Linked DNA regions of Arabidopsis thaliana. The protein of the gene in region 2 interacts with the protein of the main gene of each other region in a pairwise test. Each region holds a gene or a part of one and is shown on either strand. Other genes may lie near its edges.

Region 1 (6,731 bases), on a different chromosome or scaffold from region 2:
CGGAATCTTCAAATCTATTTTGTAATTCGTACGATTACTTTGTTGCTTTATATACAGTAACTTGAGAAATCTAGGGCTTGTTCTTTTGACTTGGTGATTTGCATGTATGGTTTTGCCTATAATTAAGATGTTACTTACTAGTTTACACGAGATTCTTCTTTTTATGAATTGTTTTTATCCATTCTTCGATTGTTGTTTGTGAAATTGTGATTGATTATGTGTAATTATGTAGTGGCTTTGGATAGAGTAACTTCAGATTCAGAGATCTGTGGCTAAGGACTTGTTTTTCTAACTTAGTGATTTTCATTTACGGTTTTGCTTCTGTTTTTCATCCTTCTTAATCCTTTTTCTTTTGGCTCCTCCAATTGGTTTTCCATAGAGACAAGGTGCAAAATCGTTTGAAGGATTCTTTGTTCAACAAAGATATGGAATGCAACAAGGAGGAAGCTATAAGAGCAATGGATATTGCTAAGAGGAAAGTTGCAGAGAATGATTACAACGGGGCTAAGCTTTTTGCTAACAAGGCTCAGGATTTGTATCCGAAACTTGATGGTTTAAGACAAGTGATGATGTTGATCGATGTGTATATCTCAGCAGGAAATACAATTAGTGGAGGAGAATCTGATTGGTATGGAATTCTTGGTGTTGATCCTTTGGCTGATGAGGAAGTAGTGAAGAAACAGTATAAGAGGCTAGCTCTTTTGCTTCATCCTGACAAGAACAATTGTGAAGGCGCAGAGGGTGCGTTTAAGCTTGTGTTAGCTGCTTGGTGTTTGTTATCTGATAAGGTTAAGAGAATTGCTTATGATCAGAAGAGGAAGTTGAACGAAGTTAAACCGAAAAGGAGTCGAAAGCAGAAACAACCTCCAAAGAAACCACCAAATCAGCCGAAACAACAACCAAATCAGCAGAAACAACCACCAGATCAGCAGAAGCAGCCACCAAATCAGCCTAGACAGCCACCAAACCAGCAGAAGCAACCACAAAACGAGCCGAAACAACCACCAAACCAGCCTAAACAACCACCAAATCAAGCAAGTACTAATGGTAGAGCTAGAAGCAAAAAGCCCACTTCCAAAGTTTCTATCTTTTGGACAATGTGCAACAAATGCGAGACACAATATGAGTATGTGAGGGTTTATTATCTTAACAAGACCGTACTTTGCCGAAATTGCCGTGGGAATTTTAAGGCAACTGAGATAGAGAAAACACCAACTGAGAAGGAAAAAACACCAACTGAGAAAGAGGAAACACCACAAGCAACAAACAAGAACACAAATGGTGCTTCGTCTTCTTGTGATAGAGATTCTTCACTAAATGTTAATTTTGATTCTAGTTTTCGACGGGATTCTTCTTTATCAAGAATGAGTTACTTTAACAGTGGAAATGTGGCAAATCAAGCAGAAGAAAGAGGGAAAAGAGAGGTAAGGGAGTCAGAAGAAGAAGCTGGTAGAGGAATTGCAAACTCTGATTTGAAAGTAGAAGAGAGAGTTTTTAAGAAGCTGAGGACAGATAACTATGCAGAGTCAAGTAGTGAAATCAAGGTGTGAAGTAAGCTGAGGACAGATAATTAGAAGTTTAACAGTGAAGTAGGAACTATGACATTTAGAAGTTTAACAATCAATGATTTTATGATTATGATATTTGAATATTTTGCATCTAGACTAGGATCTTGTACAGTGGAACCAGGTTAGTTCTTCTTCCTGTCATCTTCAATGTTGAATCTGAAATGTCAAAGCTTTATTTTATTTTTGTTAACAATGTGTGCTTTAACAACGTGAGTCAAATTAATCAAAGTGGGTTCACTTAAATTGTTGGAAGAAATTTTACTTCCACTAACTAAATATTTCCTTCTTCGGTCCCTTCATTCTCAAAAGTTTTTACTTTTGTCCCCAAATATTTTAACGGAGAAGATTTAGTCTCCTACTTCGGGTCATCATATATCACTTGAAAATCGGGATATTCGTTAAAAATCCCCCTTTTTTTTTTTTCTTTTCTTGCTTCCTCCCTTTTTTTTTTTTTTTGTTCTTTCCTTTCTCGCGTTTCTTCTCCTAGGGTTAGGGTTCGACGAACGCAGCTGTTCCACGCGTTTAGTTTCAATTCTCCATCGAAGAAGCCATAATCCGGTGCGTAATCATCGTTTTTGTTATATGTTTCCGATTAGGTGTATTATTTTCCGTTTGTTTTCTCGGGTTTGGTAGTTTCACGAACTTTTGCATCTCTCAGATCTATTGTACGTTTTTTCCTTCGTTTGTGACGGATTTTTCTGTGAAAAGAGTTTAAATTTCCATGGAGAATTACTCGATTATCTCTAATTTAACTCTTTGGCAATCAAATTTTTCGATTTTATTGTTTTTTTCTGGATGCGTGAGCTTAGTTATGAACAAGGAGGGTCAACTCGTTTACATGATTCTCTATTCACAGTATTTTCGTGGGAAAGGAGCAATTATGTTTTTGTTTTCATGATTCATGTCTTTATGTTGCATATTTTGGCCCCTTTTACTCTCATTTAGACTATGTGGTGTTTGTTTTGATGCCATTGTTTTGATTTTCCATCAATTAGTAATTTTTTCAGTCCGAATTTCAATTCTTCGTCATTGACCTTGTTGATGATTCCTGTGCTTTCAGATTCCTAAAGAGCTTACATTTGTTACTCAACTTTAAAGTTTTGACGCTAGAGATTACTATCCTCTTGCTGGGAACTCAACGTGACCAGGTATAAATCTCAGCTCATAGATAAGCAAAGTAGTTTTTTTCTACATCTCTTAGATTTGTACCCTTTTTAGCTCACAGTATCAGTTCAATAACCAAGCTGATCCCTCTTATGAACTTACATTCATTGGTTCTGTTTTTGCTAGACTGTGTTTGAAAGATAGCAATGGCTGGAGTATTAGCTGGGGATTGTTCATTCGGTGAGAGTGGTGTTTCATCTTACTCCAGGAATTCCAATGAAAAGCAGGACGAGGTTGCCCGCTGGTATTTTGGAAGAAAAGAAATTGAAGAAAATTCACCTTCAAGGTTGGATAGTATTGACTTAAAGAAGGAAACATACCTCCGCAAGTCATACTGTACATTTTTGCAGGATTTAGGCATGAGATTAAAAGTGTAAGTATAAATTTCTGACCTATATATTTCAGCTTTATACATTGCATTTTCCATTTGATTACTTCTTGCGAGCTTGGTCTAGGACATGCTAGTTTCTCCTACCATGATAATTGCCTCTATTTTGCTTATAGTATTATAGTGAATTCTTGATCCCCTTACATTAGGTTCTGTAGGATCGAATTTTGAAATTTATAGAACTTGATATCGTAGAGGTCATTAGAGCATGAATAAGCTAGTCAGAGTTATTGCCTTATTGGCAACAAAAAGGTGAAACTTGTGGGTTCATCTTGTGTTGTATGGCCCAATAGTCCTTTAATGGCTTTCTGAAATTTAGTATATAGTGATGAACACAATACTCTGAATTTATCTTCATATTGACATGGTTTCATTTGCACTGATAGCTTTCACTTTTGGCTCTCTCAATGAACGCGGCTAATATATTTTTCTAATACAGTCCTCAGGTTACAATAGCTACCGCAATTATCTTCTGTCATCGATTCTTCATTCGCCAGTCACATGCTAGGAATGACAGAAGGGTGAGTATATATTCTTTGCACATGGCGTTGTGAATACTTATATACATGGGCCTACTGTTTGTTGTTCGAGCCAGTCTGCTGCTATCTTTGTTTGCATGTATTTGAAGCATTAAATGGCTCCTTTTCCTTGCGTCCGCTTATATTCATTGTCTCCATGTCTCTGCCAGTTTCCTTTGTATATATATAGAGAGAGCAAATCGGCTGATGCATTAGATGAATATACACTGACTTCTCGCGAATATTCCTGCCATGAATATTAAGCGTTCTCTTAGTCTATTTGGTTAATGCATCTAGTTCTTTGTCCATATTTATCCTTCTAGAAACTAGCGCAGAACAGTATTAAGATTATTACTGAGTCCTTTTTCCATGTTGTCCTCCCTCCTCACCCAGACGATTGCTACAGTCTGCATGTTCCTTGCGGGAAAAGTGGAAGAAACTCCTAGGCCGTTAAAAGATGTTATTGTTGTCTCCTATGAGATAATACACAAGAAGGATCCTACTACTGCACAGAAAATCAAGCAAAAGGTCTGAATATTCTAAACTTTCTCTAATCCGGTTTCCTGTTTAGTAATAAGCGAATTTGCACTGTTTCTCGCATATTCTATTTTACTATGACATAAGTTTTCTACTAAACCCAGGATTGCACTTGTTTGTGAACAATCCTCCTATGATCATTGTCCTTGTCGTTGGATCTCTCATCTGTGCTGGTCACCGTCTCTATTATTTCTCTTCTTTGTACTGAACGTATTTCACTTTTGCAGGAAGTATATGAGCAACAAAAAGAGCTTATACTAAATGGAGAAAAGATTGTACTTTCTACGCTGGGATTTGACTTCAATGTTTATCATCCTTATAAGCCTCTTGTAGAAGCGATAAAGAAATTTAAGGTCGCACAGAATGCTCTGGCCCAAGTTGCATGGAATTTTGTTAACGATGGGTACGTTAAAAGTCTGTTTCCTTGAAAGCTTCAGATAGATCTATCTGTCTTGTATTTTCTTCTTCATACAATGAAAAGATGCTTGCAGTCTGCGGACGTCACTCTGCCTGCAATTTAAGCCTCACCACATTGCGGCGGGAGCAATTTTTCTTGCTGCGAAGTTCCTTAAAGTGAAATTACCATCAGATGGAGAGAAGGTCTGGTGGCAAGAATTTGATGTCACACCTCGACAACTAGAGGGTGAGAGAACTATCTTTATCTTTGAATTAATTTTATGAAACTGTTTCCACTTTTTCTGTTTGACTTGTATGCCTTATTTTGCATCTGATGCTAAGAGCTACTCCCTTATGTATACTGCAGATGTTAGCAACCAAATGCTTGAGCTCTATGAGCAAAACCGTGTTCCTGCATCTCAAGTAAGCGAAGTCGAAAGTAGTGTAGGTGGAGGATCAGCTCATCATGTTGGGTCTAGGCCATCAGCACGTCTAACTCATGAACATTCAAATTCTGATAATCTCGGGGGCTCGACAAAAGCTACACAAAACCGGAGCAATGATAATGGGAGTGGTGAGGCAGGTAGTGTCATCACCGAGCAGAAGGGGGAAAGAGATACAGAAACGAAAGATAGCATGCATACTGAAAGTCATCCAGCCCATAAGTCTAGATCGGGAGTTGAGGCACCTGGGGAGGATAAAATAGAGAAAGCAGGTGCACATTTTCCAGAAGATGATAAATCTAGAATTGTTGGTACAGCTGATGTCACGGTCAGCCAATCCCCAAAAGACATAAAAATGTTTAGAGATAAGGTGAAGGCCAAACTAGAGGCGAAGAAGGTCCAAGGTGAAAAGACGAGAAAGAAGGATTTGGTGGATGAGGATGATTTGATAGAAAGAGAACTGGAAGACGTGGAATTAGCTGTTGAGGATGACAAAGATATACAAAACAAAAGCTCCATGGGTACAGAACATGGCGAGATTCTTGATGGAAACAACTTGGTGGTCAATACCGAGGAAGGTGAAATGATAGATGATGTTTCTTCAACAATGCCTAGCCGGAAGAGAAAAATGGAAAGTCCTTGTGAAAAACAGTTAGGAGAAGGAAAGAGACGACACGACAACAGTGAGAATGTGGAAGAAGGTCAGAAGACAAACCCAGGAGGAAGTAGTCATAGTTATGGTGACAGAGAGCCAAGAAGACACTCCCAAGAGAGGTAGATGATCAAAACCTTCTCATGGTCTATTAGAGACATTTCCCAACCATGATGCGAAATGAGTCCACTGTATTTACAATGTTGGTTATCTTTTCATTTTCCTTGGCACTTGTATTCAACAGTTGAGAAACTAAATCAGGTTTCCATCCATCCCATAGGATTTAGGGTCTCTATAATTTTGATCTTTGTTAGCATTCCCTTTTGTATATCGGGGGAATAAAAAAGAATTTTGACGAATTTATTTAGAGCCAAGACAATATTAGTGTTTTGTCATTCATTGCCGAAGGATGTTTTGATAATAACAATATGAAACAGAGTGGTCAATTGATTTGTCAATGTGTAGTTGTTTTTGTAAGGTTTGTTTTATGTTAAGTCCACTCGTAACCTTGTTCCCATTGTCATTATACTGCTTTTCGTATGTATCGGTTAGCTTGGTGACCAATCCGGTTAACCACAAAATCAGGCGGAATAGTTGTCAAATTAAAGAGCAAAAAAGACTCATGAAAAAGAGCTGTAGGGGTTTTCATTTTTTCAATTCGTTTTCAAAATTTTCAGGTTTAAAAATAAATACAGGTCTGAATTAATTCGCTCGGTTTGAATTTTCGGGTTTAGTCCAGTGTGATTTAGTCGGTTAAGTTGCTCAAAATTTTGGATTTGGTTCGGTTTATTCATTATCAAACACAAAAACACAAAAAAAGCCAACCTAAAGAAGGAACAACAAAAGACCTAAAAACCCTCTCGTCTTCTCTTCTTCTTCTTCTTCTTCTCCTTGCTCTCTCTTGTCGTCGGCGGCAGATTATTCAATCGTTAGGCTATCGTTCCGACACTCTACAGTCATTACAAACATTTCAATACAACAAAAACTCATCCTTTTCTTCTCTTATTAACCATAATTTCGGATTCCCTTTCTAAGTATACAGCTTTCCCAGAACGAGCTCTTGCA
Region 2 (5,671 bases):
TGATAACAAAGCTCGTGATTATGGAGTAATATTCATTGAGACCAGTGCAAAAGCAGGATTTAACATCAAGGTGAGAGATGCAACTATGCTCTCATTACTCGTTTAAGATCTTGAGATTTCTTGGAATAACGCTTGGCTTTCTTGTTCTGGTGTTTTGGAAACTTGCAGCCACTTTTTCGCAAGATTGCAGCAGCGTTACCAGGAATGGAAACACTTTCTTCAACGAAACAAGAGGATATGGTTGATGTGAATCTAAAGACTTCGAGCAATTCGGCTCAAGGGGAGCAACAACGAGGTGGTTGTGCTTGTTAATCAGTTTTAAATATATACACAGCAGCAGAATAGGAAGATTTTTAAACGAAAGATTCATAATTTTATGGAACAAATAAATCCTGGTATGAGGAAAGGTGATTACACTTGGAGACTCTAGTTTTTCTTTGGAGAGGTTTTGTTTTCAATATAGAGTTGTGTAATAAAGACGTCTGAAAGCTTATGAAGAAGAATGGCATGTTTTGCTCTGTTCTCATTGCTCATTTCTTTTACATCACACACTGTCAGTCTCCATCTTGACATTACTAGAAAATGTTTGGATAACGAAATAAGACTTGGAAAGAATTGGGAAAAGAAAGAGATTCAGTTTCTCATATTAATCTATTATTAGTTTATTACTAGTATCACATTAAATGTAAGAGTAAGATATCAGATCAACAAATCATTAGAGCTCTTTACTGTTGCCATCCGTATTGCTGGTTTCTCTGATTCTGCCCTCTTCCCGAGCTACCAGAGCCACCATACTGACCACCTTGTGTGTAGTTAGGAGGTCCAACCCCGTACGGGCCACCACTAGGCCCTCTAGGACCAGCCACATAAGGAGCTCCACGTCCTTGTGGAGGATATGATCCACTGCTGTAACCTCCTCGGCTTTGATTATAACCCCCGCTCTGGTTTCCGCTAGGAGGGTAGCGGTTTGGACCAGGTGGACCACGCGGCTTCCCATAGAAGTTGTGGCTGGGTCCAGCAGGTACTTGTGGTGGTGCGTTGTTAGTGGGATGGTTTGGACCTGCAGGCCAATGTGGAGCAGCATGAGACTGTCCACCATGTTGTAATGGGGGTAAGCGAGAGTGCTGCAGCGGTGGATGCTGCAGTTTCTGTCTTTTTGCTGCTTCCTCGTTTTGGCGCTGCTGTTGCCGCTTTTTCTTTGTCTGGAACTCATGTGATGATTCATATGTGGGCAGACTGTTGAAATGAAACCTTAATTTAGTCAGAAAAAATTCCCCACGATCGCCTGTCTAATAAGCTAGATGATGATGCACCAGATGAGTTTCATGAACTTTGTCAGAGAAAATCAGAATATACAAATACCTCTTTGGGTCACATGGCAACGGATCAGTCCAAAAGTACTCGGCATCAAGAGCATCCTTTGCCGATATTCTCTACACAGGGGAAAGAAAAAAAGGAGACATTAAATATCTAAATGGTGTTAACAATGTCCTGACTTGAAGAGGTATGTTTCATCCAAAAAACAGTAAAAGACAGTTTTTAAGAAAGATAATTCGCTGGGAATAAGAATAAAGGTCTCTGATACCTGTGCTGGATCAAGCACCAACATTTTCTCCAGTAATTCAAGAGCATGCCGATCAAAGCTGTACAGAAGAGAAAGTAAAGCCAAATGAAATCTTCTGATCAAAGTAAAGCGGAGATATATAATGGTTTACTTTACTTACTGTCTGAAGAACTCTCTTACACGCCTCTTCAAGGGCCGTGCAGGCTTGAAATTGTTGAACCAAGGCATCTTGGAAACCCCAGGCCAAAGTTTTTCATCAGGTGATCCACAAAGCTCAAATATCTTGTTCAATTGTTCTTGCTGAAACAATGTAGGAGATGGCACATATTTTTTTGAGATTATCAATAACATGTATACATAACTGCGTCTATACCATTTTGTATACATGATATAATGCAAAGAACCTAACCAGCCTCCCACGGTCCCAAAATAAAAGTGCCGATAAATCTAATTCTAGTTAATCCCTTAGGTTTTCTACTCCAATGATATCACAATGCAACCAGGAGACCATGTAGATTCTTATATTATTAGTGGCACGAAAGCACACTGTCTTAACATCTGAAATTTTCAAAAGAACTGCGCTTTCAGCAAAGATGAAACGCTGACCTCATTTTTCCCAGGTAAGATTGGTTTTGCATGCAAAAGTTCGGCAAATATGCAACCAACCGACCACATGTCAATTGCTGGGCCATATTTTGTAGCCCCAAGTAGTAATTCAGGGGGCCTGCCGCAATATATGTAAATCAGCAAAGTAGTAATAACAATGAATTAGCAAAGACCATAATATTAAGACTATCTATGTATATCATGTAAACTTTGAATGACGATTTTTAGGCTTACCTATACCACAATGTGATGACACGATTTGTAAGATTTCCAGTATGATCATGAGAATACGACCGTGCAAGCCCAAAATCAGCCAGCTTTAAATTTCCCTCATTGTCGATAAGGAGATTTGAGCCTGGATCAAAATCTAGGTTAATATGCAAGTAAAGGTGATAACCAAACATCAACATTGTATTAAGGAAAATCACCTTTTATATCACGGTGAAGCACTTGATTCACATGACAATAGTGAAGCCCGGTAAGCAATTGCTTCATGTAACACTTTTAAATGGATTGAGTGTTAGAATAAAGTTGAACAATAAGTATGAAAAAGGCTAATAGAAGTAACGAGCTATTTAGCCGTGCAATACCTTAATTTGAGGAACAGTAAATCTCAGTCCAGGACGATCTGCTAGTCCAGTCAAATCATGATCCATGTACTCAAAAACCATGTAGATGCCACCCTTGTATTTGTTATTATCTATAGGTGAAAAAGCCACAACCTTTAGTTAAGAAGAAATCCTCAATAAGCAGAAACTAAGACAGTAGTTGAAATCACTTTTTTTCACAAACCTGGCTTTCCTTGGTCATCCCTGTCCCGACCTTTTAAGAGACAGAACCATTCAAAACACAAAATGTTTAGACCTCTTTATATAGAAATAGCTAACTTAATTCAGTGCAACATATGTGTTCCTTAAACAAACCTGGTGAAGTCACAATCTCTTTCAGCTGAATGACATTTTCATGATGAAGCTTCTTCAGAATCTTTATCTCTCTAATAGCTGTTATAGGAAACTGCATCATACCAGTTGTAAACAATGGGTTACAATTCCTATCGTAAACAAAAACTTGCATCTGTTCTAAACATAGTGAGCATCATAAAAAAAACGTATAGTCCATATAAAGTGAAGAATTCACATACCCCTTCTCTTTCATTGTCCATACGTATCTTTTTGAGAGCCACAATTTCACCAGTTTTGATTTCTTTAGCCATGTAAACTTGACTGCAACAGCAAAACAACAACAATCAAATCTCCTAAAAGCAACACAACATAGGCATTGTAAAAGCCTAATCATACAATCAAAAATCGCTTCAAAGGCCAATAATTTATCAATCCCAAGTAAAAATTAAGCCTTTTGAATAACCAAAGAGTGAAATTGAATTAAAGAGAAAGTGAATAACCCGTAAGTGCCTTCACCAATTTGTTCGAGCTTCTCAAAGCAATCAACGCTGCGAGATCCCCAGATTGGAGGAGGTTCCTCGAGATTTAGCTGCCCGAATGATGCCATCGCCATCTTCGTTCCCGGGAGTCCCACTGTCGAACAATATCTTTTACTCCGATGATCAAATTACGTCTTTCTCGATCGCTTTCCTTTTCTCTCAGACAACTCTCTCTCCGTAGGTTTCCCAGCTTATTTATGTAATTAGCGTTTCGGTTTAAATCTATGAATTGTCCGGTTTGAACCGGTCTAACCCTGAACAAGCGGTTGGTGTAAATTAGCGATCATCCGTTAAATTTAAATAAAATAATGAAAGAAATATCAAATATCATTTTTATTGACCGGTTTTCAAAAATACCACAACAAAAATAATCTTTTCAAAAGTATTTATTAAAATACAAACTCCATTTTTTAAAAATTGGAATTATGGGATTATGTTTCTTATGTATCTTTCTCATCATAAAAGACTTGACAACAAAATTGTTTAACATGCCAATGCCAAGCACACTCACAAGTCACAAAAAAAAAAAACAAATTGCAATTACAAAAATCATACATTAATTGTTCTATAAAGTAAACATTCATACATTTTGATTAATATTTATTTTTCAAGCTTAGATATATTATAAAGAAAGAGAAAAACTAGTGGACACTCGAACGCCCTAGATTTACTGCTCGAGATAAAATTTGATTTTCGTAAATAAAATTGGAGGCGAATTTGAGAAATCCCAAAAATAGCGGGAAAATTAAGAAAATCACTTAGGTTTTCCAGTGGGTTCACCGTCTGTGACAAGAGGTGCGATAGGAACAGATTACTCCTGAAGTGTTAGCGTGCTTATCACGCCATTTAACCGTGTACACGACCATTCTGGTTCAAAGGAAGAACGAGAACATTCGAATCTCGACCAAACCCTAGATCTCGGTTTCTTTACCTACAGGAAGACACGATTCACTATCTCCCTACTCATTGTCAAACCCTAACATCGGCTATTGGTCCTAACTCCTAACTCACCCGATTCAATTTAGGTTTCATGCTAACATCGGTGAAGGACGGTTATTTCGGAAGTTTGATTTTGGTGTGGGTAGGTCTAATTTTGGGTTTTGTGATTTCTAGGAAAATGTTTCTCTATGGTCATTCACTTGAATCAAACCCTATACATAAATCTTCCCTTCTTTTGTTTCGTATGGATGATATTTCTTTTATCTCTTATGAATCATGCTAGGTTTTTTTTCTTGTAACCGATATTAGAGTTCGACTTGGGCGATGGGAAAGATAGATAAGTATCTTAAGTATGTGCTATATATGTTTCTTGAACTTGATCCGTTGATGTTTTGGTTTTGTTTAAGTTTGTTGGTCCACAATGATATGAAAGATATATAGGCTTTTTCTTCTTAGTTTTATGAACTTACTATATATATAGGGAATCTGACTGATGGAAGTTTCAAAATGAACTAATGATAAAATAATGTTAAGACTATATATAAACAATGTTCTCATCCAATCCACTGTCTGTAGAAGAAATTGACTTGCATATTTGGTTCATATTCCACAATGGGGTTGAGATATGATCCTACTTACTGATTTTTCTGTCTGATGGTGTAGTTTTCAAGCTAACCAAAACATTCCTCTTCCAAGCTACTTTCTTCTGTGGGATGATGACTACGTAGTGGAGTTGTTCTACCATCTCCTACTATTCTGGTGATTTCAGTGATATTTTATTCTTGTGTTTCTTAATTCAAGGGAGTGGTCAGCCATTTGTGACTTCTATGTCCAACACGTATAACTATCCCACTTTCTGGTCCATAAATGATGCAAAGCAACACATATTTAAGTCTACATTGGCAATGAGAAGCCTCTGTTACCATGTTTCAGTTTCAAGCTGTAGGAGTTTGCTATCGAAGGTCAGCAACCAGAGTTCAATTCAGGTATCTCATCTCCTCTTGGGGTAGCTAGCAAAACTGCAGGATTCTAAGTTGTAATAATTCTGATGTCTTGTTGTTGTTGTTGTTGTTGAGTGCTGCTTGTTAATGTGTTGATTCACATGTTTGCTTCATGTACAA
Region 3 (6,763 bases), about 15 Mb from region 2:
TTCTGACGTTTACAAATGGCGTCAGTTATCTAAGTGAAACGAGATAGCTTGTCCCTTTTAAAAGCTAAAGTTTGGATATGTGCGACACGCTATTAACAAAACAAAACTAAATAATTTCTTTACGTAGGTTCAGGCTTCTTTTGCCAAACTCTAGGTTGGTGGAAGTTGATTTTTTTATATTTTATATTTAGTCTAGGAACAGAATGTTCTACTCTATAGATCTCTTCCTTTCTTTTCTAGATAACAGAAGAGTTACATATTTAGTTATTTTCGTTCTTTCTTTCTACATGCTTTCTTTGTATTTATGCTTCCGAATCAGATGGCACTTCTCCGATAGGTCATACAAAATATCACTTTTCGAAGAAAACAAAATCTGACAGACTTAAAAGTACATATAGTTCATTTTGATACCGTACAATACAAAGGTTTCTCTCTTTTACATCATATATAACTTAAGAAAACATTGGTCGTAACAATATTTTGGCATCAAAAGTAAACTCAATTCAACAATGTACAGTAACAAAGAAGTTATCAAGTGGACTTAACCACAACCTATACATTACTTCCTATGACCTGACACTAATTTTACCGTACTAGAGGAAACTTTTTCACAATGCGCATCAATATAAGGAAACGAAGTAAATGTGACTATGAAGTTGCCAAGCAGAATCAAACCTTAGCCCGGTTTAGATTAGATGGAAAAAAGCAGGTAATTATGCATAATTAAAGAACCCTAGCATGGAGTGGTTACAGGAAGAAACACCTAATTAGCTTCTCAACATCCTTTTAGGATGATGAGTCCTAGTTCAAGTCGTTGGATTGTGCAAAAATGCCACGAATAGATATATAATCAACATAAAATACAGAGAGCATGGTTCCAACGACTGAACCGACCCATGTAGAAGTCAAGTTCACATGGTTGGGCATCGAAGTGCCAAAGGTCTTTTAAAAAGACCATTTAGATGGAATACAAAGAGTAGCAGTTTTAATAATCATTACCTCTCTTATGAATGGTTATTCTCTTGTGAGTGTCTTCTGTGCTCTCTATCACCATGATGGCTACTACCTCTGCTCGTCTTATGGCTTTCTTCCCCATTCTCACTATTGTGGCGTCTCTTTCCTTCTGACTGCTTTTCAGGAGGGCTTCCCATTTTTCTCTTTCTGCTATGCATCATCGGGGACACATTGTTGTTTACCATTTCACCTTCCTCTGTATTTTTGACTTCTCCTTTAACATCTAAAATCTCACCATGTTCTGTACCCATGAGATCAGAGTTCTCCGCCTTTGGCCTGCTCTGTACTTTCCTTTCCTTCGTCTTTTCATCCTCAACAGCTAGTTGCACATCTTCCAGTTCTCTTTCAATCAAATCATCCTCATCCATCAAATCCTTTTTCCTCGTTCTTTCACCTAGCAACTTCTTAGCTTTCTCTCGTTTAGCCTTCACCTTATCTCGAAGCAATTTCAAATCTTTTGGCGATTGGCTGATTAGGGCATCACCCACATCAACATTTCGAGATTTATGAACAGCACCATCATCTTGTAGCTCTCCACCCTCTCTTTCTGAGTTGTCTTTCCCAGGTCCCTCAACTAAAGGTCTAGAGTTATGGGGGGCTTCTCTCACATTGTCCTTATGGGCTGGATGGCTTTCAAGATGTAGGCTGCTTTCTTTTGTTTCTCTCTCTATCTCCTCTTTGTTATCGACACTGACATTAGCTGCCTCACCACCCCCATTCTCATTGTTCTGATTCAATACTCCTTTGGATGAACCCCCATGATTATCAGAATTTGATTGTTCATGGGTTGAACGTACTGATGACGTTTGCCTAGAACCAACATGCTCATCGGTTGAAACCGCATTTCTGGAGCCTGGTCGCTGAGCTGACCCTCCACCTACACTACTCTCGACTTCACTTCCTTGAGATGCAGGGACACGATTTTGCTCATAAAGCTCAAGCATTTGGTTGCTAACATCTGAGATATACAAAAGACGATTACTCTTGAAATCATAAAGAAAAAGGGAATGGAAGTCAAACAAGGAAACAAGAATTGTCAAGTCAATTCATATTGTACATACCCTCCAGTTGTCTGGGTGTGACATCAAATTCTTGCCACCAAACCTTCTCTCCATCTGATGGTAACTTCACTTTAAGGAACTTGGCCGCAAGAAATATTGCACCAGCCGCAATATGATGAGGCTTAAATTGCAGGCAGAGAGATGTCCGTAGACTGCAAGCCACTTTTCATTGTATGAAGACGAAAATACAAGGCACATAGAATTATTGGAAGCTTTAGAAGGAAATAGTTCTTGAACGTACCCATCATTAACAAAATTCCATGCAACTTGGGCAAGTGCATTCTGTGCAACCTTAAATTTCTTTATTGCTTCTACCAGGGGTTTATAAGGATGATAAACATTGAGGTCAAAGCCTAGAGTGGAAAGAACAATTTTTTCTCCGTTTAATATAAGCTCTTTTTGTTGCTCATATACTTCCTGAAAAAGTGATATAGGTCAAATACATTTTGATATGCTGACCAACAGACAATAAATCAGGACCAAAGGACCATGGTTCTACAAAACAACGAAGCAAAGTCTGTAGCTAATACTAAAACCTCAATGTCAAATAAAACAAAAGATATGGGGAAAAAATGATACGTTCATCTATAACTAGTAAAACAGAGGTGAGAAATTAGGAAGATTCAGTAGTAAGATGGAATACCTTTTGCTTGATTTTCTGGGAAGCACCAGGATCCTTCTTGTTTATAATCTCATAGGAGACAAAAATAACATCTTTCAAGGGCCGTGGAGTTTCCTCAACCTTTCCAGCAAGGAACATGCATACAGTTGCAATGGTCTGCAGAAACAACATGAAGAGAGAGCTCAGTAAAGATCCGAGTATTTTTTTCCGCTCTAGAAGAAATAACAACAATCACAATTCACTAATTCTGCATAGAATAAGTAAAAAAGAAAAATCTAAATCAAAGTGGTAGCGAAACTATAAATGAAACTACAATAATGAGCTCTCTATAAATACCATGAAAAATGGCAAGGAGATGGATCCACTATATATAAAACCAATACATTTCAATACCTTAAATACTAGCCAGACTACAGCATAGTGGTTCAAACAACACAGAATAGAGTCATTTTTTTTTAAGCATTCAACTTGTTCAGGTGCAAAACAATAAACTCACCCTTCTGTCATTCTTTGCATGTGATTGGCGAAAGAAGAATCGATGACAGAAGATTATCGCTGTAGCTATTGTAACCTGGGGACTGATTGGAAAACTATATCAGCGACTTTCCAAGAGAGCCAAAAATTGAAATCTCTGAACAATGCAGAAACCATGACTACAAAAGCAAAATTAAGACAGTGTGGCAGTTATGTCTTCACCACTAATAACTGTCTCTTCCTTGTATTCATGCCAAAGAAAGAAAAATTGAGATAAAATAAACACAACTTCTACAACTTTCCGTTTAAAGGTGCTAGAACTAACATCAGTACAAACGTATGCCTAAAACCATCAGCAGCACATCAAATTCCAATTAAACGAAACCTATATGTAAAGGGGTAACTATTATCTGTCCACAATGATGATGGGACGGATTGGACGAACTATAATGTCAAGAAACCAAGCCAACTTGAAGCAGTTAAAGGAACAATGCACAGAAAGAAATCTAAGATGAGGTGATAGAGAACTTACACTTTCAATCTCATGCCCAAGTCCTGCAAAAATGTACAGTAGGATTTGCGGAGGTATGTTTCCTTCTTTAAGTCAATACCATCCAACCTTGACGGTGAATTCTCTTCTATTTCTTTTCTTCCAAAATACCAGCGGGAAACCTCTTCTTGCTTTTCATGGGAATTCCTTGAGTGTGATGAAACTCCACTCTCACTGTAAGAACATTCCCCAGCTAGTACTCCAGCCATTAGTATCTTCTAAAACCAAAAATTATCCCCACCTAACAAAAGCAGAGAACCAAAATGTGCATCACTTTACAAATAATAATAAGCCTGAAACTCAACACTAGAAAGGACAATTAAAGAGAACATAAGAAAAACCAGATCGATTCCCCAACAAACGAAGCTATGATCTTTGTAATTGCATTAAAACCGTATCTTTGAATAACAGATAATCTTATAAGCATTTAGAAAACTCTAAGAACAGGAATCAACTGAGGTTTCTAACAGTACACAGAAGGGCACAAAGGGGGAGATACTGATTCATGATTAGTGTCGTAAAGCAGAGTAGCAAAATGACAGCAAAGAACCAAAATTTGCTTCACTTTATAACAATCTGTGCAACCTAGCAAAAGCAGCGGACCAAAATGGGGCATCTCTTTACAATGGTAATAAGTCTGATACTCGACACTAGATAGGATAAGAGATCATCAGAAAAAGTAGATAGCTATGTTTTTTATACCCGCATTCGAACTTTGGCTTTGAATAAGAAATTAGCTACACGGAAGGGCACAACGGGGAAGAGACTAGTGACATGGCTTCAAGGAAACATAACCACATAGTCTAAAACGAGAGTCAAAGGGGATAAATCTTCTACAAGCTATGAACATGAATCATGCAAAGGATGAACCTTTACGAATTGCAAATCATGGAATCGAACTTGTGGTAACAACTTGATTAGGCTAAAAATTCATCACCAATTAGATACATTCGATCAAAATCCCAAAATTTTCTCAAAACACGAAACGATACCTAGAAAATTAGTAATTGAGCAGGAAAAAAACAGATCCAAAGGGTTTCTATAGAAATTAACCGGAAGATGGAAAAATTCGTTGAGAGATTCACTTGACGGTGGACAAAAAAGAATACCCAAATCGAGAGGATAAAGGAAATCAACGAGAATTTAAGACAGTAATTGAACGAGGGAGGGAAACAAAAAGATGGATACTTTACCTTAACTTCAATGGAATTAGCTTCTCTAGTTGCGAATTGCAGAAGAAGATGAAGAATAACGCGTGAAAATCAACAAACCCTAACCCTAGAGAGTCGCGAGAAAACGAAAGAGGGAAGAAGAAGAAAAAGGGGATAGGAAGTATTCTAAAGAGTTGTGATATTAAAAGCTGAGACCAGATTCACTTCTTTCCCTTTTTTCACATTAAAAGAATATAAATAAATTCATAAGCTAATCACTAATCGTCTTTATTGATATCTTTAACATTTGTTTTTTGAAATGTGATAAGAACAAAAAGAAAATCGACGGAAAAAAAAAGAAAAAGAAAAAGAAAATAGGAAACAGTTATTAGGAATTAGAAATCAAGAGATAAAATAAATATTAAAAGCTTATTATATTTTATATAGGCCTAGGTTATAAAAATGCGACTTTATAATTTTTATTATTTAAAGTAAATTTTTTAAAGTTGTTAACTCAAAATGACCGCGATATACGTAAATCACAATATATACATATATCACAAATTAAATTTTAATTATCTACTAAAGCTTTTGAAAAAATATAAAAATTTCTTCAAATATGTTTTTTTTGTGTATTTTGTCAAAAGTTTTGTTTTTTTCTTTTGTTTTGTTAAAATAACTCCAAAATTTGGATGTCAACTAAACATATAAAATGGTGAGATGTATAGATAAAGATTATAATAAAATATTCAATAGTATCGAAGATGAATGAGAATTAAGTATATATATGTTTGTGTAAAACATTTATGACAAGTTAGCAATATTTATAGTTTAAATCACATAGTATACTGTAGTAGTTATTTAGTAAACAACAAAAAAAATTACGTTATTTAAAAATATTTAGAGAGAATATTGAGATTAGAGTTATAACATGGGGCAGATGTAGGTAGAGGAGAGGTGAGGCACGTGCCCCACACTCATTTTTCAATTTTTCATTTTTCAAACTAATAAATATGTATATTTTAGTAGTTTAAAAAAAAGAATTAGATTATATCAATGTAAATATAATTTCTTAAAATTTATGAAATTCATTGAAGTTGTGTCTAGGCTTATGCTTTAAAAAAAAGAATTAGATTATATCAATGTAAATATAATTTCTTAAAATTTATGAAATTCATTGAAGTTGTGTCTAGGCTTATGCTTTAGAAACTTTGATCAGATTTGATTTTTTTTGGATTTGGATATTTCTGGTAGAAGAAGAGACTATTATCCATTGGGGTTTTATGATTATTCGGTTCGGGTAGGTGTAAGATTTGGAATGGTCGGAAAAAACCTACAAGTTGTTCAATTTTAATAAAAATGGTTTCAATTAATTAAATTTGGTTACATTTTGCAAACAATTATACATTTTTGACAAAATATAACTAATCCGACTCGAACCCGAATTTAATATGCCCACAAAAAATCCGATAGGTTTCGGGTTTAGTGGGTAAACTCGAAAAAACCTAGTAAAATCTGAATAATATGTGGATATCTAATATTATATTAAAGTTTTTCTTTTTTTTCTTCTTTAAATTTATAAGTATCTTTATTTTTTCATATTTATCTATACCATTATAAACTAATTTAGATAAACACTCCATAACAAACAATTTAATTTTTTTTTATCTTTATAAATTAAAGGATCCTAAATTAAATTAGAAAGAAAAATAATAAGCTTAGCAAAAAAAACAAGAAACCCTTCCCAACAGGAAAAAGAAAAAAAAAAAAAAAAAACACAGAAACCCTACGATACATTGAGACATGTGATCTTGTAAATTAACTCGCGAGATTCCCAAAGAAAGTGAATATTAGGTTTTGATTTTGAAAACCTACCCACGAAGCAATCGAT

What was found.
Region 1: the proteins of CDKC;1 (region 2) and CYCT1;4 interact in a protein complementation assay, tested with the Arabidopsis thaliana proteins (one study listed by BioGRID).
Region 3: the proteins of CDKC;1 (region 2) and AT5G45190 interact in a protein complementation assay, tested with the Arabidopsis thaliana proteins (one study listed by BioGRID).

Annotation. Positions count from the first base shown.
Region 1 is NC_003075.7:10,670,741-10,677,471, forward strand, and holds CYCT1;4 (Cyclin family protein), read left to right. Parts: upstream 1-2,024; 5' UTR 2,025-2,126; intron 2,127-2,628; 5' UTR 2,629-2,716; intron 2,717-2,858; 5' UTR 2,859-2,878; coding exon 2,879-3,105; intron 3,106-3,559; coding exon 3,560-3,641; intron 3,642-4,031; coding exon 4,032-4,166; intron 4,167-4,402; coding exon 4,403-4,578; intron 4,579-4,666; coding exon 4,667-4,818; intron 4,819-4,938; coding exon 4,939-5,792; 3' UTR 5,793-6,189; downstream 6,190-6,731. Other genes in the region: AT4G19590 (Chaperone DnaJ-domain superfamily protein), read left to right, coding at 426-1,550.
Region 2 is NC_003076.8:3,220,990-3,226,660, forward strand, and holds CDKC;1 (cyclin-dependent kinase C;1), read right to left. Parts: upstream 3,800-5,671; 5' UTR 3,686-3,799; coding exon 3,573-3,685; intron 3,394-3,572; coding exon 3,312-3,393; intron 3,185-3,311; coding exon 3,094-3,184; intron 2,993-3,093; coding exon 2,963-2,992; intron 2,871-2,962; coding exon 2,761-2,870; intron 2,672-2,760; coding exon 2,599-2,671; intron 2,526-2,598; coding exon 2,405-2,525; intron 2,289-2,404; coding exon 2,171-2,288; intron 1,865-2,170; coding exon 1,725-1,864; intron 1,644-1,724; coding exon 1,586-1,643; intron 1,434-1,585; coding exon 1,363-1,433; intron 1,237-1,362; coding exon 726-1,236; 3' UTR 504-725; downstream 1-503. Other genes in the region: RABH1e (RAB GTPase homolog H1E), read left to right, coding at 1-70, 169-312.
Region 3 is NC_003076.8:18,276,804-18,283,566, forward strand, and holds AT5G45190 (Cyclin family protein), read right to left. Parts: upstream 5,072-6,763; 5' UTR 4,915-5,071; intron 3,963-4,914; 5' UTR 3,931-3,962; coding exon 3,706-3,930; coding exon of another isoform or gene 3,704-3,705; intron 3,641-3,703; coding exon 3,617-3,640; intron 3,515-3,616; coding exon 3,497-3,514; intron 3,276-3,496; coding exon of another isoform or gene 3,269-3,275; coding exon 3,194-3,268; intron 2,854-3,193; coding exon 2,719-2,853; intron 2,493-2,718; coding exon 2,317-2,492; intron 2,228-2,316; coding exon 2,076-2,227; intron 1,973-2,075; coding exon 1,005-1,972; 3' UTR 817-1,004; downstream 1-816.